Lonchura striata: one gene and its partners. The protein of the gene in region 3 purifies or fractionates together with the protein of the main gene of each other region. This does not show direct contact. Links are inferred from orthologs where the notes say so. Each region holds a gene or a part of one and is shown on either strand. Other genes may lie near its edges. The genes, in order: CUL4B, YBX1, EZH2 and CTNNB1.

Evidence for each region.
Region 1: the proteins of EZH2 (region 3) and CUL4B purify together in Homo sapiens (affinity purification with mass spectrometry; 4 studies listed by BioGRID and IntAct, with this or other methods). This does not show direct contact. The link is inferred for Lonchura striata from reciprocal best matches to the Homo sapiens genes EZH2 and CUL4B.
Region 2: the proteins of EZH2 (region 3) and YBX1 purify together in Homo sapiens (affinity purification with mass spectrometry, with the first as the bait; 3 studies listed by BioGRID). This does not show direct contact. The link is inferred for Lonchura striata from reciprocal best matches to the Homo sapiens genes EZH2 and YBX1.
Region 4: the proteins of EZH2 (region 3) and CTNNB1 purify together in Homo sapiens (affinity purification with western blotting; 4 studies listed by BioGRID, with this or other methods). This does not show direct contact. The link is inferred for Lonchura striata from reciprocal best matches to the Homo sapiens genes EZH2 and CTNNB1.

What each region holds. Positions count from the first base shown.
Region 1 is NC_134616.1:9,129,925-9,137,395, forward strand, and holds the start of CUL4B (cullin-4B), read right to left. Parts: upstream 3,003-7,471; 5' UTR 2,357-3,002; coding exon 1,822-2,356; intron 1-1,821. Other genes in the region: MCTS1 (malignant T-cell-amplified sequence 1), read left to right, coding at 6,441-6,451, 6,917-7,069.
Region 2 is NC_134626.1:8,504,105-8,511,897, forward strand, and holds the start of YBX1 (Y-box-binding protein 1), read right to left. Parts: upstream 3,012-7,793; 5' UTR 2,849-3,011; coding exon 2,692-2,848; intron 2,370-2,691; coding exon 2,306-2,369; intron 1-2,305. UniProt on the Homo sapiens protein: DNA- and RNA-binding protein involved in various processes, such as translational repression, RNA stabilization, mRNA splicing, DNA repair and transcription regulation.
Region 3 is NC_134603.1:107,631,272-107,638,636, reverse strand, and holds the start of EZH2 (histone-lysine N-methyltransferase EZH2), read left to right. Parts: upstream 1-4,351; 5' UTR 4,352-4,511; intron 4,512-7,365. UniProt on the Homo sapiens protein: Polycomb group (PcG) protein. Catalytic subunit of the PRC2/EED-EZH2 complex, which methylates 'Lys-9' (H3K9me) and 'Lys-27' (H3K27me) of histone H3, leading to transcriptional repression of the affected target gene.
Region 4 is NC_134603.1:112,027,347-112,034,284, reverse strand, and holds the start of CTNNB1 (catenin beta-1), read right to left. Parts: upstream 3,012-6,938; 5' UTR 2,893-3,011; intron 1-2,892. UniProt on the Homo sapiens protein: Key downstream component of the canonical Wnt signaling pathway.

The DNA of each region.
Region 1 (7,471 bases), on a different chromosome or scaffold from region 3:
CCCAAAGTGACCATTTTTGTTCTAATAAGGACATTCCTAAATGGAGAAGACAGAAGAAGAAAGTCTGAGAAGGAAGATGACATATGCACATCCATGCTACCAACAGGTGAAACTGGCCCAGAGTTTATACTCTATTAAAATTGACTTTTACACACCTACAAGTAAAAAACAAATTTTAAAACTTTACGAATTCCATAGAAATAATTAAAAGAGAGAAGTAATTATTTTGTTCTTCCAAGCATTTTTGTACAATACTGGCAATATCCCAAACATTAGCTGCCTGATCTGGATCTAGAGACAACTAACCATGGACTTGCCTATTTTCACTAACAACTCCTGACTATGCTCTGAGCAATCAACACCAAGGTTATGGATTTTACGAAGTTATTTAAGTTGTAAAGGATGTCATTGTTATCACACTAAGAGAAGGCAAATATCTTAATAATGTTATTCAGTTTAGCATCTGAGATAAATAAAAAGCAAAGCTGTCAGAATACCAAAACATCCTTTTTAAGCAAGTGGTTCAAATACCCATTCAGAAGCAATGATCACAGTACCATGCAATCCGTGACATTTAACAGGTATTTTAAAAGTGAGAAGTTAACTTCCCTTAAAGATTACAGTGCACAAGGAACTGAAGAGCAGCCTATAATGCATCATAGCTTGGTATTTTAAAATAATCAGTCAAATTAAATTATGATGCTTTGATGGGTGGAGAACATTTTTGAGAATTGGAACCTTAAAGCAAAGAGTTACAGTGTGATCATGAATTCCTGCAAAACCATTACTAATCCTTACCTAATGCAACATGTCTACAGAAGATTTGTGTCAATTGTGTATTTCAAAATTAATTTTAATTTCGGTAATATCTTTTACCCCTCCACAAACCAAAATGCAAACAAGCCAGGAAAGCAAGGTAGTGGACTATTTTGGAAGCCAGCAAGAAGCAGGAAATAAAAAAAGCTCACGATCGCCTCATCTTCATAGGGAAAAAATGGCAGCATTTTAGCTAAGCTTTCTGCCTACCTATTTGTATTTTTGTTTACTAGAAAATAAAGCAGCATCACATCAGAAAAGTTTAATTTCTCTACTTCACCTTGGTCTCTACTAACACTACTAAAAAATCTCAAATGTGTGTTTGGAAAGAATTTATAAAATAAAGTAAACTTCTAAAGTAAGAGTAAGCTAAGACAGAGGAAAGATACTACAATTAAAAATGACAGCTTTCCATTAAAAGGAAAAAACTGCAAAAATCTGAACTATCTACTTTAAAAGCAAGTGGGGAAACCTGAAAGGAAATCCACCATAATAACCCGATAATCACCTTAGTTTCAACATTTAAAGCTAAGCACATGAAGATTATCCTATAAACAGACAACAAGGATAGAGATAAGACATGCAGATTCAAGGCCAATTAAAAAAACCCCCACATTCTATGCAAAGGCTTATCATAAACTGGGCTAAAATATACACTAAGCTCTGAATCAGAATTACTAGAACAACGGTATCAAATGTTAAAACAAAGGCAATTTAACACTTAGGCAGTAAAACCTTACACCTAACATACAAATGAAGGCCTTCTCAAGAGAAAGAATGGAGTCTGAAAAATAATTCCAAGCAGCAAAGTGTAGCTCAGGATGTGTACATGACCAGGCAAGCACACATCAGAAATCATGATTCCCCTTTACATAAATATGGAAATGTTCAGCACAGAAAAGCAATTCCTGCAAAACCTGGGGCTATTTGGGCTTTCAGGCTGAAAACAAATCGCGAAGTCGAGTGTCAGCTCCCCACAGGTTGTGACAAATTATGGCCTGTTACCTTTAAAGTTCTTGATCACTAATTTCTTGGCAGAGCCAGGTTTACTGTTGGCGAAACTGGAAACAGTAGAGGAGGCAGCTTTGGTCAGGCCATTTGCATGGTGCCCCACAGCCACTGACGAAATTAAAAGGCTTTTATTTTTAAGCTGTTGCTGGTGCTGCTGCTGAGAAGAGGCAGCAGGAGAGGAGGAGGAGGAAGAAGACTCTTCAGCCATCTTCACATCGAGTCCAATAAAATCCACGGAGTCCTCAAAGCGCAGCTTCTTCTGGAGGTGATGGTTGGAGGAAGCAACCCCTGAGGAGGAGCACGAGGAAGTGGTGATGACAGAGGAAGATGATGAGGAGGTGTTTTTGGAAGGAGAAGAGGTGCAGGAGGAAATGGAATCAAATTCTTCTTTTTCGGAATTACTGTTGCTGCTGTTATTTAGCTTTCTCTTCTTGCAGGAGGAGCTGCTGCTAGTGTTACCATCAGTGGCAGGTCTGACCTCCTGGGCTGCAGCTGGGGGGTTGGGGGAAGAGAAACCTGTGGGAAACATGAACACACAGAAGTGAACAGGCTGAGGGGCATCAAATCCTTGTGGTGTGACAAAGAAGAGGGGGAGAGTTTTAGAGTCAGTCTCTGTTTACTGTCTCGGGGGGGGGGTGGGGGGTCTTTCAACTCCTCCTTCTCATCAGTGAAGTCCTTCCGTATTTCTTCTCCTTCGCGTTTTTCTTTATCGGAGGAATCACTTTATCTCCTCTTCCCTTTTCTTTATTACTTTGGTTCTTCCCGTAGTTTGGCGCTGCCTTTCTGCTTTTACTCCTTTCCCAGCGCAGCGTTTCCGTTCCTGCCGCCCACCAGTTCCTTTCGGTTCTCCTCTCCAGCTGCAGAATTCCCCACGGCTGCCCGCTTCCCCGGCTTCTCCTTGCGCTCCCCTCCTGCTCCGGCCGCCTCGTCTCCGCCGAGCAGCAGCGGGGAGGGCTGAGCGCGGCTCCCTCCGGCCTCGGCTCCAGCCCCTGGCCCCACCCGCTCCCGCTCCGCCCGCGGCCGCTCCGCTCGGCCCCGCTCGGCCCCGCTCCCCCCTCTCCGCTGTGCCCGCGCTCGCTGAGGGGGGACGGCCCGGCCGGGTTGTTATTGTCACTGCACGGCAGAGGGAGCGCAAAAATGGCGGCGCATCCGCCCGCCGTGCATGACGGGGCGCGGCGCACGGAAGCGCGGCCGGGAAGCGCTGGGACCGCCCCGGGACCCGCCCCGGGACCCGCCCCGGGATCCGCCCCGAGACCCGCCCCGGGACCCGCCCCGGGACCCGCCCCGGGACCCGCCCCGGGACCCGCCCCGGGACCCGCCCCGGGACCCGCCCCGGGACCCGCCCCGGGACCCGCCTCCGGCCCCGCCGGCGCCCTCGGCCCCGCCGGAACTGATCGTGGCTCGGTGCCCCCCGCGCCGGCCTGGGGCCGCCCCTGGGGCGGGAGTGCGGGACCGGGGAGTGCCGCTCCGGGGCGTTCCGCTCCGGGGCCCGTTCCGGGGGCCCGCCCGGCCTCAGGCGGCCTCACCCGGCCCGGCCCCGCCGCAGGCTCGGCCGCCGTCTGCTCGTTCCGCCGGAGCCTGCGGCCTAGGCCCGGGCCTGTTAGCTAAGCCTGTTAGCTTGGTCTGGAAATGCTTTTTGTTACACTTATTTATAAATAATTTAGCGTCAGCTGTTTGATACGATTTTAATACATACTACTTGCACTGGGCTACAGTCTATGGTTTGCTTTTCTTTTGTTTATTTTGTAACTTTTAGAAACAAGAACAGAAGTCCTGGGCCTTTGGAGTCTCCTTTTTGATGTTGGTGGTTCTGTTGCCAAAGGGACTGTAAACTCCTGAGGAATGTTGTTAGGGTTCAACCACTGCTGAGAAATGGCTGTGGAAAAAGCAACAAGCCAAGTGATGAGGTTTTGTTCCAGGAGATTCTCCACGGCCTTCACCAGAGCATACCTTGTACACCAGGCAGCTCCTCAGGGGAAAATCTAGTGGCACTTTTATGTTGGATAGGAAAACACAGACTTAATTCTCTTGACAGAAACTGGTACATGGAATGTAATGTCACTAAAGCTCTTCTGGAGTATGTTTTATGTCTGAGTCACTGTCAGACAACTCCTGAGGCCTGGAATGTCATGCTAGTGATGTGTAGAAAAGCACTTTTTCCAGTTGAAAAAACGCCAGCAAAACAAAGCTTCAGTCTGGCTTTGACTGGCTTTAGAAGAGATTGTATGGTTCCCAAGGCTACTAAATTGCATTCCAAGTCGGATATAATAGAAAAAAACAGGTTTGCCAAGTAAATAAGTTATGTGAGTATGCTGTAAAATTTTCCTCTGTTCCCCAGTAACTGTCATGTTCACTTAAGCCAAAATAGATAAGAGGTCTAGAGATGTAAGAGATGCCAAATTTCTACACATTCTTGGTTCATTGAAAGGATTTGATTTATAAAAAAGACATGAGTAAGAGTCCCTTTTCCTGAAGTTGCTGTCTATGCAATCATTCAGGGGTGGGACAGTCAATGACTTTGTCCCATCAGTTAGAATATTCAGCTTTTGGATGTGAGAGAGCAGGTGGAGGCAAGGTAAAGTTCTGGGGATCCAGGAAGAAGTATGATGGATTTTCCCCCTTTTCTACCAAAACTTATGGGGAGTGAAATCCTAAGTCCTTTCTATTTAGCACATGATCCTGAGGGGTGGTTTCTGTCAGAACAGTTGCTGGATGTTCCCCCTGCTTTGTCAGTCTTGTCCAGGTACCATGCTTTTAAAATTTTGGTACTTTTAAGTGACTCTGCAACCAGATGAAAGTCTCCAGCTTTTTTGTGTTGAGGCTGAACAGTAACACTGAGAGCTGTGTTAATGAAGTCCAGCCTAGGTCCTTGGAGCCTTCTTCAGAAGTCCTCTGTACAGGCATGTTTAGATTGACTGAGCAGTTACCTACCCCAGCAAAAAGCATTTGGAAGAGAAGGTGGAGAAGTTGAGACCAGACTAAAGGTTAGCTCAGCCTGAAGGGAACCAATGGTCCAACTGCTTGAAGGTAGTAAAAGTGTAGAGGTAAGACCTTCCTCTTGACAAAGGCATTTTTTGAAAATTTGGGCCTAATCTTGCTGTTTTAGGCAGACATGAAACTGGTGGCTCAGGTGACTTCAGTGAGATGTGCTGTGTTTCTCAAGAAGAGTAGAAGTTTACCTTGTGTTTCTATCACTTGAGGTAGAATATGATGAATTTTTCATTACAGTTTTAAAAAATGTGGTTGTTTGCATGGCTAAGTACTATTTGATGAAAGTTTTTCTGAGGATCACCATAACGTATGGAATAGTTTTTCAGTGTGATTAACTCCCATTCTCATTTTCTAATCCTGGGGATGAGCAGTGTCACTGTGGTTCAGTTAAAACTGAATTCTTGATCATCACTCAGTATTTTTGGGGATGCTACAAAGTAGGTGAAGGTGGCATTCATAAGTGAAGTGCTTGACTGTTTATGTAATGCCATAGTTCATTCCTATACTTTCAAAAAGTTATTAGTGTGTTTGTTCCCAAAGCTGTACTGCACTATTTGAATGATACCATGTATAATGCTTGATTTTACTTTGGCAAATATAACTTTTAAGTATTAGGTTTTAATTACCTGTTATAGTATCAAAGGTGATGAAATTGTTTTGTATGGAAAAAAGAAACTCGGTTGTTAGCATAATGATAACCTGATGTTTTATATCCTCTCCTCCCTCTCCTTTATCCTAGTGTTGGCATTTCCATGACACTAAAAAGAAACTGGGTGATCACCTCTATGTCTGTTTATGTAGCAGCCACCAGCCTAAAGAACAAACACAGGTCTGCTCCTCAGAGAGTGAAAAAGCAGTGTGGTAAATTCTGTCTGCTATGGTTTTCTATTCACAATTGCGGCGGCCATCACCAAACAAAACCTAATTTGATTCTGATACACTCCACCAGATCCATCTGTCTGCCTGGCAGCTGAGATCTTCTCTGGAAGCCAGGTTTCTGCTTCCTCCCCACTTTGAAGATGTGGTACTGTCACCTGGGACCGATTCCCTAGCCGGGAACAGTATCTGCTGTTTGACAAGAACTCTATTTTTCCCCCCAGAATACTGTTGATAGTATCTCGTGTCCTACTCTGAAGCTGGCGTGACGATAGCTTCTGCTCTGCTAGTTTGAAGATGGCTGTGTTTTTTTCCAGATAAACGTATTTTGTGTTTAAATAATGCCAGCAGCTAGTAGCACTTTGCTCTTCTTATTTTACCAAAAAGCGATACATTACCTGGGAAACCAGCGCCGTGCCTGTAAGTAGCAGGCGCCGGGCTGCTGTGGGAGGTTAATAACAACGCAGTTGTGCAAGGGGCAGCGGGCGGGCGCGGCCCCGGCGCGGGCGCGGCCCCGGCGCGGGCGCGGCCCCGGTACCGGGGCCGCGCCCGCGCCGGGGCCGCGCCCGCGCCGGGGCCGCGCCGCGCTGCCGGCTGGCCCCGCCCGTTCCGCGGGGATGGAGCGGCGCTTCCGGCGGGCTTGGAGGGAGGGACGGCCCGGCCGGAGCCGCGTGTGAGCAGCGCCCAGGCTGTGGGTGCCCGCCGGCCCCGGCCCGCCCGCCCGCCCGGCGCCCCCCGCCCGCAGGATGTTCAAGAAGTGAGTGCGGCCGGGCTGGGGCCGCGGGAGGCGCGGGGGAAGGGAAGGGAAGGGAAGGGAAGGGAAGGGAAGGGAAGGGAAGGGCAGGGCAGGGCAGGGCCCGGCGCTGCGGTGGACGTGAAGGATTCGCATCGGAACGGGGCTGTGGGTGTTTGTGGTACCAGCAGAGTACTCTCGGAGTTGAATAAAATAGCGCTGTGTGCCGGGCTTAATGTGTGAGACTAAACACGTGCTGTGGCCGTACAAAAAGTTTAGGGATGAAGACAGGCTGCCCCGCCTTCCCCCAGCCCAAGTGTTCCAAGGGGGCAAATTTAAGCTTCATGAAATTTCTGCATTTGAAAGTTGGACAGTCAGTCTGCTATTAGATTTTTATAGTGAATTTATAAGCATTTCTGAAGACAGCTGCTGAAAAATGCATATTTTATGCAGAAAATTATGCATTTCTAAAATGCTTTCATTTGACAGATTTGATGAAAAGGAGAATGTATCAAACTGTATCCAGCTGAAGACTTCAGTTATTAAAGGTATCAAGAATCAACTGATAGACCAGTTTCCTGTTATTGAACCATGGCTAAACCAAATCATGCCAAAGAAAGATCCAGTTAAAATAGTAAGATGGTAAGTATCTCTTCTCTTAAACTTTGCTTTCAAGGTGCTAGGATGGCTTTCTTTGTTTACTTTGTACAGTAGATAAACCTAGCACTTTTGATGGGCATCCATCATCTCTTAATAGATAGTCCGTGTTATGGCCAAACCAGAAAGTTGGCTTGTGCTCATTTTGCTTTAAAGGCACATGCTAGTAGGATGCTTGAGGAACTTAAAAATCTTCCTAGTAGCTAGTGTGCAGTGTATTCAGGGTCTCTCCAAGGACCAGCCTGTTGTTGAAGGGAAGCATTCAGCTTGATGGACATGGAAGCACAAAATTGTTTGGATTCCCGTCAGTAACATTTTGTAGTATTTTCAGGCTTCCATGTATTATCTTGATTATTTTCCCTTTTTTTAAATAGAGGGTGGTACATT
Region 2 (7,793 bases), on a different chromosome or scaffold from region 3:
TGCCTACAGACCTCAAAGGTTACTGGGAAAAGGCAGCCGAGCAGAGCCATTCTGATATCATCTCCAAAGCCCCAAGAATGCAGCACTCAGAAGCCCTTGCAAAGCCAAAGCTGAAAGACTCTTCTTCAAAACACAATGTCCAAAATGCTGAAAACCTTCGCAAGAGAATAGTAGCATGTTTCTAGTAAAAATGCTGAGCACCTTCCTTCATCATCAGCTAAAAAAACAGTGGTAGGAAGTGCTCATCCACAAATGTGGATACCTTGTACTTTTGCCCAGGTTGAATTTTGGACAACCAGACTGGATACTTATTTTTAAAATCCATTTGCAAAGCAGTTTCCATTCAAGAGGACATCAGAGTTTTGGCTCGACAACTGACGAGATCACACAGGGCTCACTGAATCAAGCCATTTTACAGCCCCACGCCATTGGCCACATCACTCCCAATGCTGTTTTCCAGCAAGCACATCTGGAAGCAGCAAGCATGCTGCCGTGTGGATGATGGAACAACAGGACCATCACTTTTTCAAAGAAAATTTGGAAGGGTACAAGAGGAACACCCATTCTAAAGGCCAAACAATTTAACTGATCTTTGCACTATGCCACTCTTCCACTCACATCTTTTATCCACTAAAATATATTAGAGAAAGGGAAATAGATAAGCAGACAAAGAAGATGCCAAGTCCAGCAGGGCACCAAATACCATGCCAGACAGTGCAACTCCAGTTATGGTACAGACCAAGCCAGCGGATTTGGCACATCAACTTGTTATTTTGGCAAACATGAGAAACAACCATCAAAGACCCAGAATTCAAACTCCTTCCTATTTTGTAACAGAATCACACTTCTAACATTAAAAAGACTCAGAAAATACCTGAAGTGAGCATGCACATACCTCAAAGCTCATTTCAGTTCCATAGTCTCATTTTATTTGAAAGCAGACCTGGCTAAAGCAAAGCCATGCAAGGGCAGGAGCTCCTGCACAGCTTCCCTGCAGCCAGGTAAAGATTTCAGAGCTGAGGAAATGTCCTCCCCTTCAGTTACCAGCCTCTAATCTCTTGATAATATGAGATCATGCTGGGTTTCTCATTACAAATGGCAACCTCAGGGATTAAACAGCTGCCAAATTAATGACTGGGGAAGCTACTTGGATGTCTCAACTAGCTGCTGCTGCTGCTTCCTTGCTTGACTGACACCACAGAACATTTTCACTGCTGAGGGAACAGGAAAAGCCTTCCCTCGAGGTGGGGTTTGTGGCTGGGACTTGGGAGGCATTTCCAAGGCCAGAGACAACAGCTCTCAGCACTGGTGACTCCACAACACTGGGAACTGAAGCATGGCATGATGAACAATGCAAACTGGACAGAATGGGAGGCAGGTTTGTAAAGCTGCAGACACAGAACTAATTCAGGAGTTTAACAATTTAGACTAGTTCATAAAGTAACAGGCAGTTCCAAAAGGCAGTGTTTAAACCAAACATAAACAAAAGTTCCAATAATAACACTATACTTGCTGGCCTAAAGGGGATTTCCCAGTACACAGCCTCATTCTGAGACTGGGGAGTTTAAGTACCACAAAATAAGGGAAACAGCTCTAGCAACAGTCCAGGGAGCCCCCCTCCAGCCAATGGAGCCAAGAATTGCCCATTTTCTAAAAACTTGTTTGCAGAGCACTTCCTCTCCTTGACAGACCTACTTCAGGTACCTACATACTTCTCAAAGCGTTCAAATTAGTCTTTCACATCAACTACTGTCACAAAAAGAATCTTCTAGGCACTTGTTTCATGAGACCAGTCTGTGCACTTGAGTGTGGCACTAGAATGTGTGAACTATGCTCCTTTTGCTCATTTTGCCATATGCTGACAGTGTCCTCATTAGAGTGTGTTTAAACTACCAAGTGCTAAAAGCAATTTTTACTTGCATTGACTGAACTTTACGCAGGAGTTTAAATGTGTGCTGACAGCCAGTGCACTTTTATATCTTTAAGGGGGGAAAAAAACCCCAAAACACCATAAAGGGATAGACCATAATGTAAGACACATCGCCATGGAAACAGACTCGCTTCGAGAGCGCAGCTCTTGCCCAGGGTTAAAGGACTCAAAAGCCAACCCCAAGGAAGCCCCAAGCAGGACAGAAACCCCGGGGTGGAGAAAGGGCGAATCGTACCAGCTCCTTCTACCAAGAAGGGCGAGAGGCGGCAAAGGCACCACCACTCCCCGCCCCCGCCTGTCACCCGCGGGACACAAGTGCCGCGCCCCCCTCCCCGGGGCTCCCCGTGACAAGGCCCGCCGCGTCTGGGCACTCACCTGTTGATGAAGCCGTAACCGTTCCTCACGTTGAACCATTTCACTGTTCCCAAAACCTTCGTTGCTGCGGGAAGGGGCAGAGTGAAGAGGGGAAGGAGGGGAGGGAGCGGCACGTCAGGGGCACGTGGCAGGGCGCGCGCACAAAGGCCCCGCGTGGCGGACATCTTGCGCTGCCCCGCCCCCACCCGGCACGCGGGGCCGGCGGCGCGCGGGGCGGGGAGGGAGAGGGGGGCGACTAACGGCCGCCGCGCGAGCGAGGACACGAGCCGGGGGCGCGCACAGCCCCTCCGGGCGGAAGGGAGCGCGCGCCAACCTCAGCCATGGAGGGAGAGAGGCAGTGGGATCGGAGCTTCCCACCCCACCCCGGGACCCCAAGCTGCCCTCACCGATGACCTTCTTGTCCCCGCCAGCGGGAGGTGCCGCCGAGGCCAGGCCGCTGCCCCCGTTCCCGGTCCCACCGTTTGGCTTGGAGTCGGCGGGGGCGGCGGGGGCCGCCGGGGGGACGGGGGCGGCGGGCGGCTGGGTCTCGGCCTCGCTGCTCATGGCGGCGGCTGTTCGGTGCGGACGGTGGTGGTGACTGCTGTTTGCGCCGCCTCCCGCGGTGTGATGGTGACTGAGGCCGGCCGTGGGGGCGGGGGGGGGGCTGCTCCCTGCTCCGGGCTCGCTGAGCTCCGCTCTCCGCTCCCGATACCGATCGAACTGGCCACAATGGCGGCGCGCACCGGTTAGTCACCCCGCGCGCCCCGCCCGCACGCGCCGCGATTCGCCATCCGGCCCGCCCGTTAAACGGAGAGCGACCCCATTGGCCTTTCCCCAACCCGCCACCGCCCCCCACCGAAAACCTATTGGCGACGACACCTGCCTTTCCCCAAGAGCGCGCGCCATTGGTTGCTTCGCCCGTGGGTGCCAAGCCAGCTTTTCTCACCGGGCGACCCGGAGTCCCCGCCCCCGCCCCTGATTGGCCCTTCCGGCCGCCGCTCCCGCCCCCACCGGGCACGATCGGGGAAGTGCGCGCGACCATGCGCCGGTGGCTTCTGTCCGGCGCTGTCCCCGACCCCGCTTCCGCTCGCTGGAAGACCCAGGGCAGAGCGATCTTGCGGGCGGCTCCCGGCCTAGCGCGCCGGGGGCGCCCTCTCCCGTTAATGATTGCCAGAAGGGCCCGGGAGCGTTAAATACCAGTGGGAAACGACGGATTTGGAGCTGTCAGAGCTCCCCAGTCCATGTCCGGATGTGCAGTAACAGCACTGACCTGACCCGCGGGGAATCAGCTTTTCCCTAGACATCGCATCCTTCCCTCCCTGGAAGGGCGGGAGCAGCTTCTCACCCTGAGCCCTTCTACCCACTCAGGCTGTCGGAAAAGCATTAGTGCTGGGTCCTTTACCCTGCTAGAGTCTTTCTCCAGCCACCATCTCTCAGCACCTCCTTACCTCTATGGATTCACCTTACAGCGGCCTGGAGGTACCCGACATCTCTTGCAGGGTTCCCCAAAGGGAAGGTCCCGAGGAAACCCCTGTCCTTGTCCAACAAGTTAATTTTCCTTAGTTGAAGAATGTGGTTGGTGGCCACATTTCTTGCTTTGGTCATGTCATTCGTCTGACATGGGAGGAGAGAAAGGTCATCAGCAACCACTCAGAAGGTCTCTGGGAGATGACCCACCACTCCACCATTTTTGCAAGCAACACGTATCCCCTTGGGATCAGCCCTTTCAGCACTGCACACAAATCACCATCCAGTTCACTATCCCAGTTCCCTACATTCCACCCTGGCCAGGTGAAGGACTCGAATGAGGCCAAGCTCAACCCACCACATCAACCCACTAGGAACATTGGTCTCATCCTGCTCCCTTGGGAACTCTTCCACCTGATCTTCAACTCAGTTAATGAAGGGAAGGGCTTGAAAACAATAACACAGTCCCACAGGATCAGCACCAGGATGATGACCTGGATAAAAAAGCTAGAATGATGTCAAAATTGGATGCTGCTTAGTGACTGCCATAGTTTTGTATGAGAAAAAAAAAAAAACTATTTAAAAAGGATTAAATGAACTAAAAATTTTAAATTTCATTTCTTTACATAATCAGTTTAAAAAAAGTTATAAAATAAAGAAAAAATATTCTAAAGATTTTAATTCTTACTATCTTTTTCTTTTAATTAGTGTTAATAAAATTTTCTTTATACCTTTTAAAATTTTAAGCCTACTTTACCATTCTCCTAATCCTATCTTCCTATCTCACAAGAAGAAATAAATACATAAGTGATTAGCCAACACTAAAACTCATCACACTCTTCAACACATTAATTAAAAAATCTCAAAATTAAAGAAATCTTAAATTAACAAACCAAAACCACTTCAGTGAGTCACCTGAAAAATAATCTTACTATAGAATGCAAATTAGGGAATACACCAGGCAGCCACCCATGAGGAAGAAAACTCCAGGGAGGAAATGTGTGGGAATGTCAGAGCCATGCACCTACAGCCAAAACTGTGGACCCCAATGATGTCTTTGTGGAGTAACACTGTGAAATCCAAAGGCAACTCAGACCCTCAAGGAAATGCACAGGCCACCAGAAATACCATCTCCAGCTGCAGCATCCACAGTTGAAGGAAGCTGACAGGAGTTCCATCATCTCCTCTACAGGACATTCCAGGATTTGCTACATACAACACAAGGGTGACACCATCATGGAGGAATTAAAACAAAAAATGTGGTTTTTGAGAAGACTTTCAGCCAGCAGGTAACATTCCACGTTTAAGGGAAATATAATGGGATGTAATTAGCCATTGTAATAACAAAGAGGTAGTAATGGATTTGCCACTCTTAATTAATCTGGGGAAGCTCTGTGACCCCTTTATGCAGGAAGTGAGGCCAGGTGGTGGCAGTGGTATAAATACATCAGGCTGAAAAAGTGCTGCTAATCCTGGACCAGAAATAAACTTGTTTCCCTGGTGAAAAAATGGTGAATTTTTTGAATGGTGAATACCAGCAGCCAGAAGTGCAAACCTCAGCACAGCACTGCCAGGCATAGCTCCTTGAGGCACCTGAGCCAGCCTGTTGAGAATCTTCAACCCTCCTCTCACAGGAGAGCCCTCTGCAAAGCATGTGTGGGGCTGAGGAAGAAAGGACTGGGGTGCTTGTGCTTCTTTTATCACCTGATGTTCTGCAGGTACAAAGTGACATGCCTCAGGCTGGAGAGAAGTGAGTGTTCTCAGCTGCTGTGCAATTCTAGGAATGAGGACGTAGGAATCCTGACAGCCAGAGCCTTCTCCTAGGATTTCAAAGAGCCATGAGAGAAAAGAGCACAGCTAAGCCTGTGGGAACTTCCTCCAGCCTATCAGTGCTGGGCAAGGCTCAGGTCAGGCAGAGAGTGCACCCTATACCCACTGCCCAGGCACAGTTGGGATCTTTCCACATGGGATGAATCACCTGCATGTGACAGAACAGACTCTGTCCTAACTTTCATCAGGTCCTTTACCTTTAAACAGCTGGATGAGAAGTTCCTGCTGGAACCCAGCACTGTGTAGGGTGCTGGCTTGTCCCCTGCCAGGAGGGTGAGCTCCCAGCCCTGTTCTGGAAGAAAGGCAGCCTCAGCTGCACTCTCCTCACTAAACAGGACAAGCAGCCCCAATTTCATTCCTATAGCATCACCATTCTGTTTTTCCCAAGCCTGCTCCAACACCCTTGTAAGTACTCAGGTGAACCCCTCCTCCAACATATGTGGCACATAACAGCTCGATGACTGAAAGACCTGTTTACATCAGAACTCTCCTCAGAGTGTAGCACTCACGGTGATGGAATCTGTGCTATACCAATTCCTCAGTTCTGGAGATTCCCAAGATGTGCCAACAACCTTTCTGCCAGCCAGGCAGTTGTAGTTACCTGCCGAGTGAAAGAGCTGGTGCAGCACAGCTCTACCAAGCTCCTTTCACCCCTTCTTTCAATACCAATCAGTAAATGTTCCTGACTAACTGGCCAGGGACAATGCATGTTGCTGAAGATGTTACAGCCCTTTTCACCTAGAGAAGAATCCATTCCCACTAATGCTAATTGATGTGCACTGCACATGTTTAAAAATTTTTTAATTACATTTCAAAATGTAAAAAAAAAAAAAAAAAAAAAAAAAAAAAAAAAAAAAAAAGCCCATTATTAAATAATTTCAGGAGAACATCAAGAGGATGGATCTGGCCTGTGGAGAAGTCTGGGCAGTGGGTGAGCTGGCTGGAACTGGAATTGCTTGGAGCCAGCACAGGTCTAATCACCAGTAAAGGAACACTGAAAGGAAGAAGAAACATGTAAGTCTAAATGCTGGACAACCATTCCCAACAGATCCTACAACAGCCAGGCTGTGCAGTAATACTGGGGGCCACACAGCAATTTTAAATGCATGCCAGTTGCTACACACACAAGCTTCACCAGCTTTCATCATCCAGAGAACTCAGGAATCCTCCTGGATCTGCCTGTCAGGCAACTGCATCTACTTCTGAAGTTAAAAGCAAGAGTGCCTGTTTCTCCCAGCTGATTTTCAAGGATCTTGACAAGTAGCTGATATAGCTTTCTGACGTCAGGCAATGCAAAAGCTGTTCTTGTTCCCAGTCAGATGAGAGACATGAGAGTGCAGCAAGGCTGTTCCTAAGACCTGTTAGGGAAATAAGTAAGCTGGCACCAGCATTGCACCTATGAATGTGAAGCTTCCAGGCTCAAGCTGGGGATTGCCAGGGACACAGTACTCCAAACTAAAATGGTAAGAAAGTCTGGGATGGAGTACAAATCTAAAGGAGACCTGACCCTTCAACACAGCTCTGCAAGAAAAGAGACAGCCTTACTAGCAGACTTTTTTCAAAAGCCTGTAAATGCCACCAGAAGAACCAGGGGAATGGAAGAATGATTACATTCCCTGTTGAAACTTCATCAAATAGCAAGAGCTCCCAAGAGTTTGAAGTGCTGCAGGTCTCTAAGACTTTATTACAAAAGAGGGAACATTTTTGCAATTCCAGTTGCCTTTGGATATAATTTAATGGAAGGTCAAAAATTGTGAGTATTGTGAGTATAAAATTGTGAGTCCAAACTGCCTCCTGAAATTTGGAAAAAATCAGCAACCAAAAGGCTAATACAGCAGATTTTTGACAAGCTGCAGCCCAACACACTGAAATCTAGACAGATTTAAATACCTGTAGATTTTACAGTAAATTGAGCTAACAAATGGAGACAGAACACTTACTGTATGTTAGCCTGAGACTATTGGTTTAACCAATATGAAACCTAAGTAACAGTAAATAGTGAAAACATCTCTTTTCAGATAGAGGGAGTGGTACTTTTTTCAAGTCAAGGTAAGACTATGCAAAATGGTAACTCCTTGGTCCTTCAGTAGTGTCAGTCCTACAGCGGTACTGAGCAAGGAGGCTCAAAAGTCCTCCCTTTCTCTTCTCCTTTTATTGATCCCTGCCTGTCCCACCCATGGATAGTCTGATTTTTGTAGTTTTTTGGAAGTTC
Region 3 (7,365 bases):
TGAGGGAAATTGGTCCATACATACCAGTAAGATATTAATGTAAAACATTTGAAAACATAGCTAATCTCAAAGTGGCTAGTTGCAAAACATAGTCATTAATTTCTTGTTAAAAGTTAACACAAACTCCCTGCTTTTTTTATAATAATGATACAAGAGGCCAATACTTTAAAAGGGTCTCTGATATGCCTTTTTATGATATGCCACTTAATATTCTGATTTCTGTGTATTCATTGCCGTGCATAAGAGATAAATGCTATTACAGATTTAGACTGTACTTACTTTAGATTTTAGACTGTAGTTACATTTCTACATATGTAAACATTTTGTAAAATCTCATCAAATTCACATGGACCAAAATGCAGAATTTCAGACACACTACAAGCTAGGGTCTCTGTAAAAGTACAGGGTTAGGAAAACACCAAGAAACAAAGATCACGCTCCTAAACGCTCTACGGGATGAAATACTACTTGCAGTGCTACCGGCTTTGATTGTAGGGGTAGGTGTAACCAGGACAGGGTTACACCTACCCCTCCATCCTCCTTTCCTCCCTTCCAGCGAGCTCGGGAGCTGGAGCACGAGCAGGCTGAACCTCTGGAGGCTGTGTGACCGATCCGTGGAGCCAGCAGCCCGCGCCACGGAGAGAGCCAGCCCAAAGCTGCACGCAGCTTTGTTGCGCTGCCATTCCGGAGCACAAAGGAAAGCGACGCTGCCATCAGCAAGTCACCAGCTTATCTACAAGAATTACAGATGCAGCTACCGGCGTCTCTGCTCCGGGCTGCCAGTGCTGGGGGCAGCCTTGCTGCGCCTCTCCTGGAAAAAAACGGGTGGGCGAGGGGAAAACTGGCCAACATCTCTCGTTATTCCAGGCCGAGGTAGTTCCCAGACAGGTCTGGCTTGGTCCCCCAAGCCTGACGGGAAGAAATACCATATGATTCTAACTACAAGGAAATCTTGGGATAATAGTGCATAAAGAATATCCTATGCTTTAGAAATAACACCTTCTTTCAGATATTAAAAATATCTAAAAGAAACCACTTAACTGTTAATTTTGCTTTGCAGCAGAATTTTGTTTGCCCCTTCTTTTTCCTGGACTCAAATACCACTCCTTAAAGGGTGAAAGAAGCACATAAGGATCCCCCCATGGAAGCAATCATACCCTGATGCTGTCAAACAATTATTTTTATGTCTAATTGATGCTGGTGATCTAGCACTGACAAATCCTTATTCTACATAGTCATACATGCAATATGAATGTACATGTTACATTCATATGCTGGAAACATAGAAAATGCTCTTCTACAGTGTGTTAGCTATAAAAAAAGGGCAAATGCTTTCAACAGTTCCAGAAGGGTCTAAAACTGATACTTTTTTCTTGAGCCTGATTTTATTTAATTGTCATGTAACATGTGTATATTTCTTCAATGTTAGCCACTTTTCTCAAAAGCACTGTACCATGCTGCCACCAGAATTCACTCCTTTGAGAAAGGCTCCTCAAAATACCAGGTTTTGTAATTATTTCAAAAATTGTTGTGCTATTTTTACCTAAAGATCCAATTGGAATGTCTCTGCATAATACAGATCCTTGTTCAAATAGTTGCTTTTTAATCACAGAAATACAGCAGAAACAGAAAACCATTTGGGTGGTTTATTCTGTGAAAACAGAAAGTCTGTATGGAGCTTGTTGCAACATTAAACTCCTGTGTAGAGAATCAAACTGTTACCAAAATTCTCCAGGAGGTTTGAGGCAGCCTGAACTACGGATCAGGAAATCAGCACCTCATAGAATTTCTTGACAGGAGTTCATTGTTTTAAGAGCCTAGAATGGAGCCTTGGTGTAGAGATTGTTTTGTACAGTGCAAAGAAGAAACAGTAACTCAGTTCAAAACATGTACAGTTTTCTAGTAAGCATCACTTTCAGGTACAGCAGATGAATAATCTTCTGTACAAGAGAGGAAAAGGATGTGATCAGTGCTGAGGTTAGTTCACAGGGTAGGTTCTATAATGCAGATCTTTCCACCTTGTGGCTAAGCGTATCTGCTGCATTAAGTTACCTCACCCTTATCTAGCAATTATTACTTTTCTTGTTGACCAAAACCAGATCTCATGAAGTGCATCTTGAAGGATCAAAATAAATTACAAAACCTAAATTGTGACGAGACTGGGTAGCCATTTTGGTGGTGGCAGCCATCTTGGGGTAGAATAGATTCACAATAGCTGAATTTCCAGAAATGACTAATATTTTTCAAATGTAATATTTTAAAGACAATCTTCCCAATTGTCAGCCACTCCACTAGAATGCGAGGAAGGTTATAGCTATCTACCACAATATGACATGTAACTGTAATAGGAAATAATTTCTGCTGCGTGCTTTTTGCTCGTAACTCATGAAACCCCAGAGATTAAAAAACAAAAACAAAAACAAAAACAAAAATCAAAAAAAGAGATACTATTAGAAACACCTTTTCAAGGCCATGAGGTAAATCAAGAACATCCAGAGTGGGAATGCCCACACTTGAGACCTCACTCCAAGTTTAATACACAATGAAGCCCGGAAATTTTAAGTACTTTCACATAGAAAGAGACTATAAAAACACACAAGTACATTGCCTTTAAGTAGGAGAACACCAAGCCTCACTTGGCACATAAGCCAACTGCATTAATTGGGGGATGAAGGTGCATTTGTGATTTATTTCCCTGCAAGAACTTTTTATCACTTAGGACCTCATTACAGTGGCCACTGGTCATTTTTTGAACTTTGACCCTGTAGAAGCACTAAGGTAGCGCTAGGAAGCACAAGTTAGAGGGAAGCTGATATTTGGTGAGGAAGGATGACGGAAACAACCATGTATCGATTGCTCCAGCGCACATCGGAAGTAGCACTCGATGTGGGACGCATGGGAAAGTGATCTGGTCACAAGGGAGGTGAAGTGTATCATTAGAAAACTTATCTTGGCAATTTTATTTTTCTCTGCTGAAGCAGAGTAAAGGCTGGAGCGACCAGAGAGCAGGACGACGGCAGAGTAAAAAGGTGCACGAACCGTCAAGTTTTAAATACAACCTCGGCAACAAGATTGATGAGCGCGGCTCGTGGATTAGAAACGAGGGAAAACAGCAGCAGCCTTAGAGGCTGGAGACAGCACGTAGCGAGCAACAGGATGCGAGCCTGATGCGGAGAGAGCACTTTGCTGCGGCTGCTGCGATTTATGACATCCCCCCACGACAGGGGGAAGCCGCGCTGGATGCGGAGCAGCGAGGGAGAGGAAGCCGCCGGCGCGATGCGCTGAAGGAGGGCTGGCGGCGGTGAAGTTTGGGCAAGCAAAGGTCAAAGAGGCGGACGCGAAGCAGCAGCGCTGCAAAGTGACTCAGCCGGCCGAGACATCCGCCGGGGAGCGGCGGGGCTGCCCCGCCAGCGTGGGCTGTCCCCAGCCTCCAGGGCTGATACATCCTCGTTTTCCCTACGTGTCACGTCTGTGAGACACGCAAGCCCACGGCATGATCTGGCGATGTGGGCGCGTTTGTGATTTATTTCCTCCGTGAGAGACTTTTCTTAGTCAGAACCCCCTTACAGTGGCCGCTGCTCACTTCTGCCCCTGAAGATGCGCTGAGGTAGCCACAAGGAAGAGGAGAGGTGATATTTGGTAAGGAAGGATGACGGGACTTGTGGAAGCAAGGGTACGGCTCCAGTGTGTCTCGGAAGTAGCACTCGATGCGGGGCGCATCGGAAAGGGATGCGGTCGCAAGGGACGGGCTAAGTACCCGCTAGCAAAACTTATCTTGGCAATTTTATTTTTCCCTGCTGAAGACGGAGGAAGGCCGGAGTGACCTGCCGCGGCTGAGCTCCGGCGCCGGGGGCGCAACAGGCGGAGCGGCGGCGGGACGGAGGGGCCGCTCCGGACATTCCCGCCCCCGGGACCGTTACGGCCGTTACGCCGCTCCCGCTCTCGGACCGATTCAAACTCGGCAGCGGCGCCGAGCGGGAGCGGGAGCGCGGCCCCTCCCGGTGCCCGCCAATCCTCTCGCCCGCCTCCCTCCCCTTTCCCCTCCCTCTGCCCCTTCTCCACGTGAGGCGGCCGCGGAGTTCCGAGCGGCCCCGGCGCGGCGCGGCCCCGGGCCCGGCCCCGCCGCGCGGCGCGGGGGGCGGGGGGCGGCGGGAGCGGGGGGAGCGCGAGCCCCCCGTCCCCCCGCGCGGGCAGCGCGAGAACAAAGAGTTCTCCCCACCCCTCCCTGCCCCCCCCGCACGTGGGGAGCGAGGCCGCGCCCCGCGCCCCGCCCGCCGCCGCGCCCGATTGGCCCGGCGGGGCCCCGGCCGCGGCCGCCCGTCCAATGGAGGCGGCGCTCGGCGCTCGCCAATGAGCGCGATGGCGATTGGGCCGGCGTGTTTGGCGCTCGGTCCGGGAGGGTGAATCCGGCAGCCGGAGGCGGAGGGAGGCAGAGCGGGAGCGCCGAGCGGAGCTGGCGGCGGCACCGGCGGGAGCGGCGGCGGCGCGGAGCCGGGGCGGCGGGGGGGCGGGTGAGTGAGCGGGCGGGCGAGCGACACCTCGCGGGCTCGAGGCGGCGGCGGCGCCGGGAGCGGCTATTTATACCCGGGTCCTTTGTCATGGGGGAGGGGAGGAGAGGAGGGGAGGGGGCGGCAGGGAGGAAGGGGAGGATGGGGGCAGCGGCGGCGGCGGCTCACGGGGAGCAGCCGCGTCCCCTTCCCGCGGGGAGCCGGCGGGCAGACACGCGGGCTCCCGGCCGGTGACAGCTGGAGGGGGGAGACATGGAGTCTGGAGTGCCCTTTGTCTAAGTTGGCTCCGTCCAGCCCGGCCGGCGGCTCCGGTCCCCGCCCGGCGGGGCGCACGCCCGGGCTGGGGGCGAGCTCGCCGTCACTCCTTCGAAGGGCGGGGGCGGCGGGAGGCAGAGCGGGGGGCAGACCCGGCGATTCCCTTCCCCTCCTCTCCGCTCCAGCCGGCGGCACGCGGCGGTGGCCCCGGCGCGGGCAGAGGGAGGTGTGCGTGCGTGTCGAGCCCGAAAGCCGTGCGCCCGAAAGCCGTGTGCCCGCCGTGGGCAGCGCGGCACGCAGCTCGTCCCTCTCTCCCGGGAGCCGGGACAGTCCGCCCGGGCTCCCGGAAGCCGGGGCCGGCCGGGCGGGGAGGCTGAGCGCGCCCGGGCCGCCCGCCCGCGGGACGGCGGGGCTGCGCTGGGGGTCCCGCCTCGGCTTTGGGGCGCTCCGGGCTCAGGGAGAGAGCTCGGGAGGGGCCGGGGGGGAGCTCGGTCTGGCGGCTGCTCCGGCGAACTTCCTAATCGTGGAGATCACCGTGCGATCCCGATCTTCCAGAGCGCCGGGAGAAAGTTCATAAATAGCTGAAAATTCCGGGGTTTTGGGTCTCATATCGCCAAGCACGGCGATACGGAGCACTGTTTAAAGGTAGGGTGTCTGGGGAGGTGTGAAGGAGAGTGCTGGGCTGAGCCGTCCGTGAGCAACAAATGTGTGGTTGGATAAAGAAATCGGTGTGTTGTGGCATCATGCACATGTATTTAACATTACCAGGTCTTCGTGGTGATTCCAAAATTGTTATTCATACACTAAAGAAAAGCAACGCGTGCACAGATGTGCGGCAGGAATGGGACAACAAACTTGTACATTATTCGAGATACTTTCTAACTTACAAAGCACCATACTGATTTTATTTGAGCAAGAGAAAAGTTTTTTAAATTTCTAAAGCTGGAAGTTCAGATTCTTATTCTCTCTGATGAGAAGCACGTAACAGTTTGGAGAAGGTAATTTAATTTTAGCAGGATAGGTTTGTCTTTTCTTAAGTCTAGCAACTCTACTTTCAGCTATTGTGAGTTTGGTTCTTACTAATACAGATTTCAGCAAAGAGTTTTTGCCAGCACGTTTAGTGTGATCTTCACATCTAGGTGGGGATTCTTCTCAAAGATAGGCTAATATTTTTTGGGGGGGGTTGGCACATTCAGATTCTTTATGCAATTTATAAAAATTTAAAGGTAATTCCTTGTTTGTTCCCAGTGTCTATATCAAATTGAGAGTCCTGGGAATGTTTATTTGTGGTAACAATCAAGTATCTGCAGAAGGATGGGTATTACTTGTACATAGTGTACAATAACTAGGCTCACTAGTGATTATTAAAATGTGACTATTTGAAATGTACTAAGTCTTTCAGAAAATGCCCTTTCAGTATTTTAGGAGATGTGACTCAAAAGTTTTCTGTGATGTGTTGAATGATTTTAAGACCTAGTACTTTTACAAAGTACTAAATAAAAACGTCACATTTCTTGTTCTGGAGTTTCCTTTGCAAGAAGCAAAAAGGAAAAATATTTTTTTCCTTCCTCCGCCTCCATGAGAAATTAAAGTAACAATTAAAGCTAAACAACCTGTGCAGAAATCTGTGACAGTATAATGTTCCATGAGATGCCAACTGCTATTCTTGTCTGGAACTTTGGAAGGATTCAAGACTTTAATTTAGGAAAAAAATTGGGAAGAAATTTAGAGTTCTTTCATAGATTTTTTTAATATGTAATTTCACCTTTAAAAGTGGCAGACGCTGAAACTCTGCACCTTCAAAAAGTCATAAAATGTCACCGTTCAGTTTAAAATGAGCTGAAGTGGTGGTGTGTGAGCTTAGACCGGAGACCTGAAATTCAAGCTCAGCGTTCCCCCCCACCCCGCTGTGTTTTTTTCCTTTCTTGCTAAAACTGCCAACAAGCTAAAATATGGTGATTTCTTTGAAGACATGCTTTCAAACTGGTTTTTGTTTGTTCTGTAACATTGCAACCTTCATAAGTGAAATGTAAATATTCCCGTGCTACTTCTTACCTGCAAAGAAACTTTGGCTTAGGGAGAAGGGAATTTTTATAGTGCATTATTGAATGCATGAGCTGTGTTAGATATAGAGAGACTGCAAGCCACTTTCTGTAAAGAAGCTTATGTCAGAATAAGCTACATCTAGAATCTGGTGCAGGCCAACAGTGCTCCCAGGAAAGTTGGTGCACTCTAAAATTCCTCTTGCAATTAATCAAAAGAAGTGCTCTGTCACCATTCACAAAACTGTTCAGTTTCTGTGCCTGTATAGATTATGGATGTGTTTTAGTAAGTTCTCAGCTGTAATGATAAAACTGAGTAACAATTTTAGATGAAGGTTCTATATTCATGTGATTGAACAGTGAGAGTTATTTCTTAAAATGGCTGCAGCACTGACAGAAGGCACATATAATAAATGCCTACTTTACATTGTGTTTGAGCAAAAGTGCTGTGGAAAAACTTTAGTGTTGGCTGTAATCTGGAAGTTCTGTAATTCTACTGTTAGTACTTACAGATGGATCTTAGCTGATTTGAGGAAAAGTATCTGTGAAGTTTTGGGGGG
Region 4 (6,938 bases), about 4.4 Mb from region 3:
AAGTCTAGCCAATTCAATTGGTGCTTAACTGGAAAATCAGAAATATTGCCCTTTCAGGAAAATAATTTTATATAAAGAAACAAGAAGAATTACACACAATACTTACTGCCAAGGAGTTTACCATTTCTGGGTTCCCACCCAGTCAGCCAGCAAAGCACTGGGCTCAGAATTTGCAGGTGCATGTTCTGAGGACACAGAAGCAAGACACAGCTGCCTGCAGTTTCTCACAGGTTTTACCAGGCTTTGTCAAGTAAGATGTTCAAGATAGGTAAGGTCAGTCCCGATTTTCCTGCCATGGTATGCAGGCTACCACAGTCACAGAACAAGTTTTGCTGCAGGCAACTGCATGATCACCACAACCCCAGCATTACCAGTTTAACTTTGAATTAAGGTAAGTGATTTTGATTACCGATGTATTTGCACACCAGTCTGCCTACTAGACAATACTCTACAGAAACATCCTTATCCAAGAGTTTCAGACAGCACACTCAGACTTCAATTTCTGAGACAGAAGCCTCCAGCAGCCATATTTCCTGCTCTATTCTTTCCACTTCCCTTTCCACTCCTGAAAACACTGCAAAATCAGAACACCACTAGTATTAACCTCTTGCCTTAACATCCCCAAAAACTCAGAACTCTTCAGAACATGGTATTTCAGGATGCTAATCCAGATGTAGAGTCACTACAGATGGACAGATGTTTCAGAAAAAAATAATTTCGTCTGAAGGGCAACCAGGTTTCACAGCCAAGGTTTGGTAAGCTACTTACTGACACATCACAGTCAGAGCAAAATGCTGGTGTCCAGAGTAGACATACACCATGCAAAGAGCCCATTCTATTTATAGCTTAGGCAAGAAAAACGAAGCTTGGTTTGATAAGGCTGTAACACAGAATTTGAAGAACTGATTTTTCCAATCAAGCTTTACTTTGCATTAAATCCTTGCTCCTGGAAGCTATCGTGCATGGCATTGTCCTTTCCAACATGGTGTTTGTACTTGTCTCCTAGACTTTGTGGAAATGATCAGCCATACAGACCAAACATTCCCCTGGATATCAGTTTACACCTAAATAGAAAATATCTGAACTAACAGACAAACAAATATGACATTTATTTAGAACAGCCTCAGAACAATGAGACATTCAGTATAATTTTGAACTGAACAGTTGAATTTAGAGAGCCTCAAACTCTTGCCTGAATACCTAAGCAGCCTCATTTGCAACAGTACCAGCCATTAGACAACGACACAGCAGTCACATACCTGCAGCTGTCAGCACCTTTTTATCAAAAGTGCAAGATCAACATTAGGTTCCTGGACTGTTACGTATTGAAATTCACATTATAACTTGGGCCAATACACACCACTAAGTTTTGCCGCTTAGACTTTTTTCTTGGAGCCTCGCAGCAGTATCTTTTTCTCATTTAGAATCAAAATCATAACTAGGAAGTTGCTGACTGGTGTGTCCGAACTTAGATCAAGAAAACCCTGACACTCTTGCAACTAATTTTCTCGTCTTTGCTTTACTGTAGTCTCAGTACATAAAGATCCTGTTTTACTAAAACCCCTCCTTGATTTCCGTCCGTCGACCTCAGCATACCAGCCCAGCCTCTTTCCATTCACCACTTGCATACTTTGGGGGATGGGAGGACCACAGATGTCTGGAATATACAGAGTGTCAGAACAATGGCTGCTCCATGAGAAAGAGATCAAGAAGTAGCTGATTACAAAGATCAACACTGCTATTCCTAAAGTCACAAGTAAGTTGCTCGTGGTACCTTCACACAGTCTGTCCTTTCTTTCCAGTTAGGATAATTTTCAGAGGTTTTTGGAAAGAGACACAAAAAGAAACGACCCAACATCCTACATCGAGTTTTAACTAGGGAAAAATGTAAGGTTTTGCTACATTTAAGAAAACTTGCTGCTCTAGGAGCAGCTAATCATGCACAAAAGAGACGAACTAAGCTTTGTTAAAAAAAAAAAAAGAACAAACACCAAAAAACAAACTAAACCAACAACAAACCACAACACCCCAGGAGACCCTGTTCCTAGAGAAAGAAGCGCCCTAGACAATTCTGGGAGTAACCGCGAGTTGATCTCCACAGCTCGGGAGCGCGGTACTTCGGGAAGCTGGAGCCGCCGTGGTCCCCCAGCCGGCCACGGGAAGCAGCGGGCGCTTCCCCTCGCAGCGTGGGAGCCCCAACACCGCCCGCAGCCCAGGTCGTTCCCTGCAATACCCTGGTAAGGTGGGTGTTAAAAAACTTAATTTGATTGCTCCCAGCTCCGGGAAAGCTTCATTTCGGTGACACCCAGAAGCAGCAGCACAGCCTCTCCGGCAAATATGCAACGCCACTAAAAGCGAAACCCCACAAGGCAACAGATTAGTTATCTCCCGCTGACTGCAGTGACCGTGATTAATTATATTCCGTACAAATAAACCCGTACCCTGCTCTCTTCCCCCTCCTATCGCCAAAGGGGATCTGATACCCAACAGCGAGTTAGTAGTCCCCTAAAAAGGGAGGGGGAAGAACCTCTAAAATAATAATAAAAAAGGGCCATTAAAGTACTCCGGACGCTGCTGCAGCCGAGAGCAGAGGCGGGCGCATGGGCTCGCCTTCTCCCGCCCGGAGCAGCCACCCCCTCGCCCCAGGACGAGCTTCCCAAGAGACTCCTCGGGAGCCGCAGCTGCCGCTCCTGCAGCCACGCAGCTGTCCGGACCTCCCAAAAACAAGAGCCCTCTCTCTCTTCCTTTCCTGCCCCCCCACCTCTCTCCCACCCCCGCTCCCCCCTCCCCCAGCCCCGTCCTTCCCGCTGGGCACTCCCTGGACCCCCTGACGGCCACGGGGGTGCCCGGCCCGGGTTTGCCCGAGTTCCCGCCGGAGAAAGCGGCACTAACGTCGGAGGAAGGGAGAGCTCAGGGTCCCTCCAGGCTCCGGCGGCGGCGGCGGCTGCTGCTGCTGCCCGGGCGATCCTGGTCCGGTCCGTCTTTCCTTCCTCGTCCCCCGCCTCCTCCTCGCTCACGGCGGTGCCCCCGCCGCTGGCTCCGGGTGGCGACCGTACGGGGCGGCGGTGTTCGTGTCCCCCGAGCGCCGCCGCCGCTGCTCCCAGCGCCGAACCGAGCGAGAGGCTTAAAATGGCGTCGCGCACAAGGAGGTTCTTATAGCGAGCGGCGGGCCCGGCTGTGTATCCTGCCGCCGCGGCCGGGCCCCGCGCGCGGCATTCCATAGGCGCCCGGCGCTCAGGGCAGGCAGAGGGAGGAGGAGAAATAGTGCCCGGCTCCCAGGGCGGAGGGAGACAGGGAGCGGGGAAGCGGCGGAATGGGGGAAGGCCGGGCCAGGCGGCGCTGGGCAGGGCTGGGCAGGGCTGGCCGGGGCAGGGGGAGCGCGGCGGAGACACCTTATTCCGGAGGTGGGAAAGAAGGATCCTAGTTCCCGGCTTGGGAACGAAGTTGCTGCTGCCCTGAGGGGTGTGGAGGCGGCGGGGGAGGGGATACGACTGCGGGGATCAACCCGGGGTCCTGCTTTGGGAAGGGGAGCGGTGGGGGTGGGGGGCAAAAGGCGCGTGTCACTCCCTCTCTCCTACTCCTTTCCAAACCCCCCGTTTAATCTGGAGTTTCGTTGCCTGGGGTTTTAATTTTTTTTTTTCTTTTTTTCTTTTTTTTTTTTTTTTTTTTTTTTTAAGTGCACGGCACCAACTGTAGCGAAACTCCGTCTTCCCAGACGCCCGCGCCGCCACGTCCGGGGGATCTCGGGCTGCCGCGGGAAGTCGGCCCCGGCTGGGACGGGGCGGCCGCCGAGCCCGGCCCGCGGCTCGGCCCGGCAAGGCGGCGGAAACGCGCTCCCGCTCTGCCCTTGTAAATATTTGTCAGGAAGCAGTTGCCAAAGAAAGTATCTCGTTATGCAATTTTTTTTTTTTTTTTTTAAGGGAGAAGCGAACTTCCCTTCTTCACCCCCCTCCACACACACACACCTCCTCCTCCCAGCCCTCCCCTCGCTCCTTTAGCGATTCGTAAAAAACAGGAAAATACGAATTGCACAAGGTTTTTTCGCGGCGTGTGAAGGCACGTCCGCGGCGGCCTCTTCTCGGCGTGATCGGGCTTGCACAGCAGAATGTTTTACAGACTTTTTGCGTGCATCGTCTTGCAGTGGCAAAGTCTGTGTTTAACATACCAGGAGGGAAAAATACATTCACACCTCTCTCCACATGAAACAAGGACCGAATATACAACGTGGTTATGGGAAACATCCATTGCCAGAGCCAAAGATGTATATTATTTTGTTCCCCCCGCAGAATAAATTTGCTTTGGCACGGGCTGATGTGGGAGATTGAATTCTTTTTTTCCTTCTTCCAGTCTCGTCCCCCACCAGCCCCCAGTTTGTGCAGTTTTTGCAGCAGGGAGATGCGCGGTTCACATGGGGACTACCTTTATGCTTGTTTTTTCCCACTGATAATCCAGTTTTAAACAGGCTCTTAAGTTTCTAGTTAGAAAGTTGCAATTAAAGATTTGGTTTTTTTCCCCCATTGATTTATTCAGTCAGATGTAGAGTTACTCTAAGGGAACCTCTTTCACAGTGCTGCTTGATTTTCACATAAGCTGCTTTCTTTTGAATTTGGAGCTTTTTAAAACAGGGTATTTATCCTGGGCTGGAGGTTTGTTGGCAGGATAATGTAAGGCTTGCTGCATACAAGAGACAAGGTGGAACTGGCATGGGTGACAAGGGGGCCACATCCAGTGAGGCAAGTGCCGGAGAAGTGTTCCAAGGGTGGGTTAGCTGTTACTACTCCTATGGCATTGGAAAGGCAGTGGTGATAAAAAAAATCCTATTTTCCTCCCATTACCCCTGCCACTGCAAGGCATAGCAATCATTCACCCACCAGCCTCCCTCTGCTATGGGCAACCTTTAGTGCCCACTAGTAAGGAAAAGAAATGCTACTTGGACAACCCTGAAGTTGGAGAATTGAGAAATGCAGCTTTCCTGTTTTCTCCTGGGACAGTTGCCCGTTCTGACAATACTGGTCAAAAGAGGGGCAAGAATGAGGGTGACTGTTGGCAAGAGCTGGCAAAGAAAATTCTGCCAGATCAGGCCAGTGGACCGTGAGTGTTCATCATCTTCCTGGGGAGTTATTTGGTGCAGCTATGAGCAGAAGGACCTTGTTCTTGACACCAGAATTTTTATCCCAATTTAAGATAAGAGCCAGAGAAAGTATTATTGAAGATTGTCAAGCAATAAAAAAAGAGAAAAGGGTGTGGAGGGAAGAGTTAATTTCTTTATCCACCTTCCTTTCTCAGCTGCCTTCTTCTACAACCTTCAGAAAATCTGCTCTGCCTCGGTTTCACCCTCTGTAAAACGGGAATAGTAATACTGACAAACCCCTCCTTTTAGATCCCTGGATCAAAGGTACTATATAAGTTCAAAGTGCTGTTTCTATAGGGCATTATTGCCAAATTCGCTATAAGCAATTCCATTGGGTACTTGATAACAACAGTAGAATCAGTCAAATGCCCTTGATGTATTGCATGGTCCCAGATACCTTTCAGAGGCTCTTTGTGTGCCATCCCACCCCCCGAGGTCTGCAGGGATGGGGCTTTTGGAGCCTGGATTTTGCAGGAGCAGGAAGGGTGCAGTCCATGTCTCTGCTTCTGGCCCCTGAACTGTGGACCGCTTTTCTTTTTGACCTGACGAGGACAACTGGAACTAGACCTTTTAAAAACAGGTTTAAAACATACAACTTATATATATATATTTAAATAATATATTGGCCTTTAGTACCTAATGATTAACTCTTGTTGATTTTTGGATGCTTTACTTCTGCATGGGTTGTAATTTTAATCTCTATTTGTTTCGCTGCAAAGTGGTTAGGATACTTTTGCATCTAGTCACATTGCTTATAGAAATTTGGTTCATATCAGCTTTGCAACTTTTAGCTATTAGGTAGCTAAACATTTTCTAAAATTGTACCTTTAAAAAATTCCCAAACCCCTACTTCAGAGAAACAATCTTAATAGCCGAATTGAAATTACAATTAACTTGTCGCTGTTCTCTCAATTATAAAAATGTTTCTAAAATACATTTTATATTCCTAATTTTTCTAAAATGCAGTGTGTAAAGTTCCACTATCAAAACAAGAACAGTAAATGTTATATGGAATATTACAGTACAGGGCTCCATCAGTAAATTCACAAACGGTCCAGTTATTCTTCCTCTTCTACTTTTTTTTCCTTTCTTCCCCAAGAAGCACTGAGTGTGTCTGTGCAGCTTCAGAAGTTTCCTCTGAGCTCTTTTATACTTTAATAGGTTTGTTTTGGTGGCAGTTTACTAGAAGAGTATGCTGCAGACATATTTTTTTTTAAGAGGTCAAGCAGTCTCCTAACATGTCCATTGTGTATCCTTGCAGTAAGAAATCCTCAGTGCAAAGGAGAGCTTCATGGTTGAATTTTAAAAGATAATGATTTAAATCTTTTTGTTAACTTTTTTTTCATCCTTAGCACTGCTTTTGTAGACTCCACTTTTAGTACAGTAAAAAGTAGGAAGCCCCTTAATTAAAATAAGAAACAGTTAAATGTAAACTTAGATGGTCACCTTTCCTTCTAAAATCCTGGTGTTTAACTTTGTTTATAAGGAACATAGTAACAAATGAGTAGCCATGGTACTAATATGAGGACAAAGCAAAATTACCAATTACAGAAATATCTAGGGCTCTGGGCCTGAATCTGTGATTTCCCATATGGATCTTAAAAATGTATGCATAATTGGCTTCTAACTGTGCATGCTCTAGGAACATATTCAAGAATCAACTACAGATATTTTTTTTCAGACACTGACTAAATATATATTCACTTGTCAGCAAAAAGATACATAATTCTGATCCTCTTAACCAGAAAGAAAAAAATAAAAGGAGTCTTCTTCCAGCAAAGTAAGGTTGTAGTGTATTAAAAAAGTC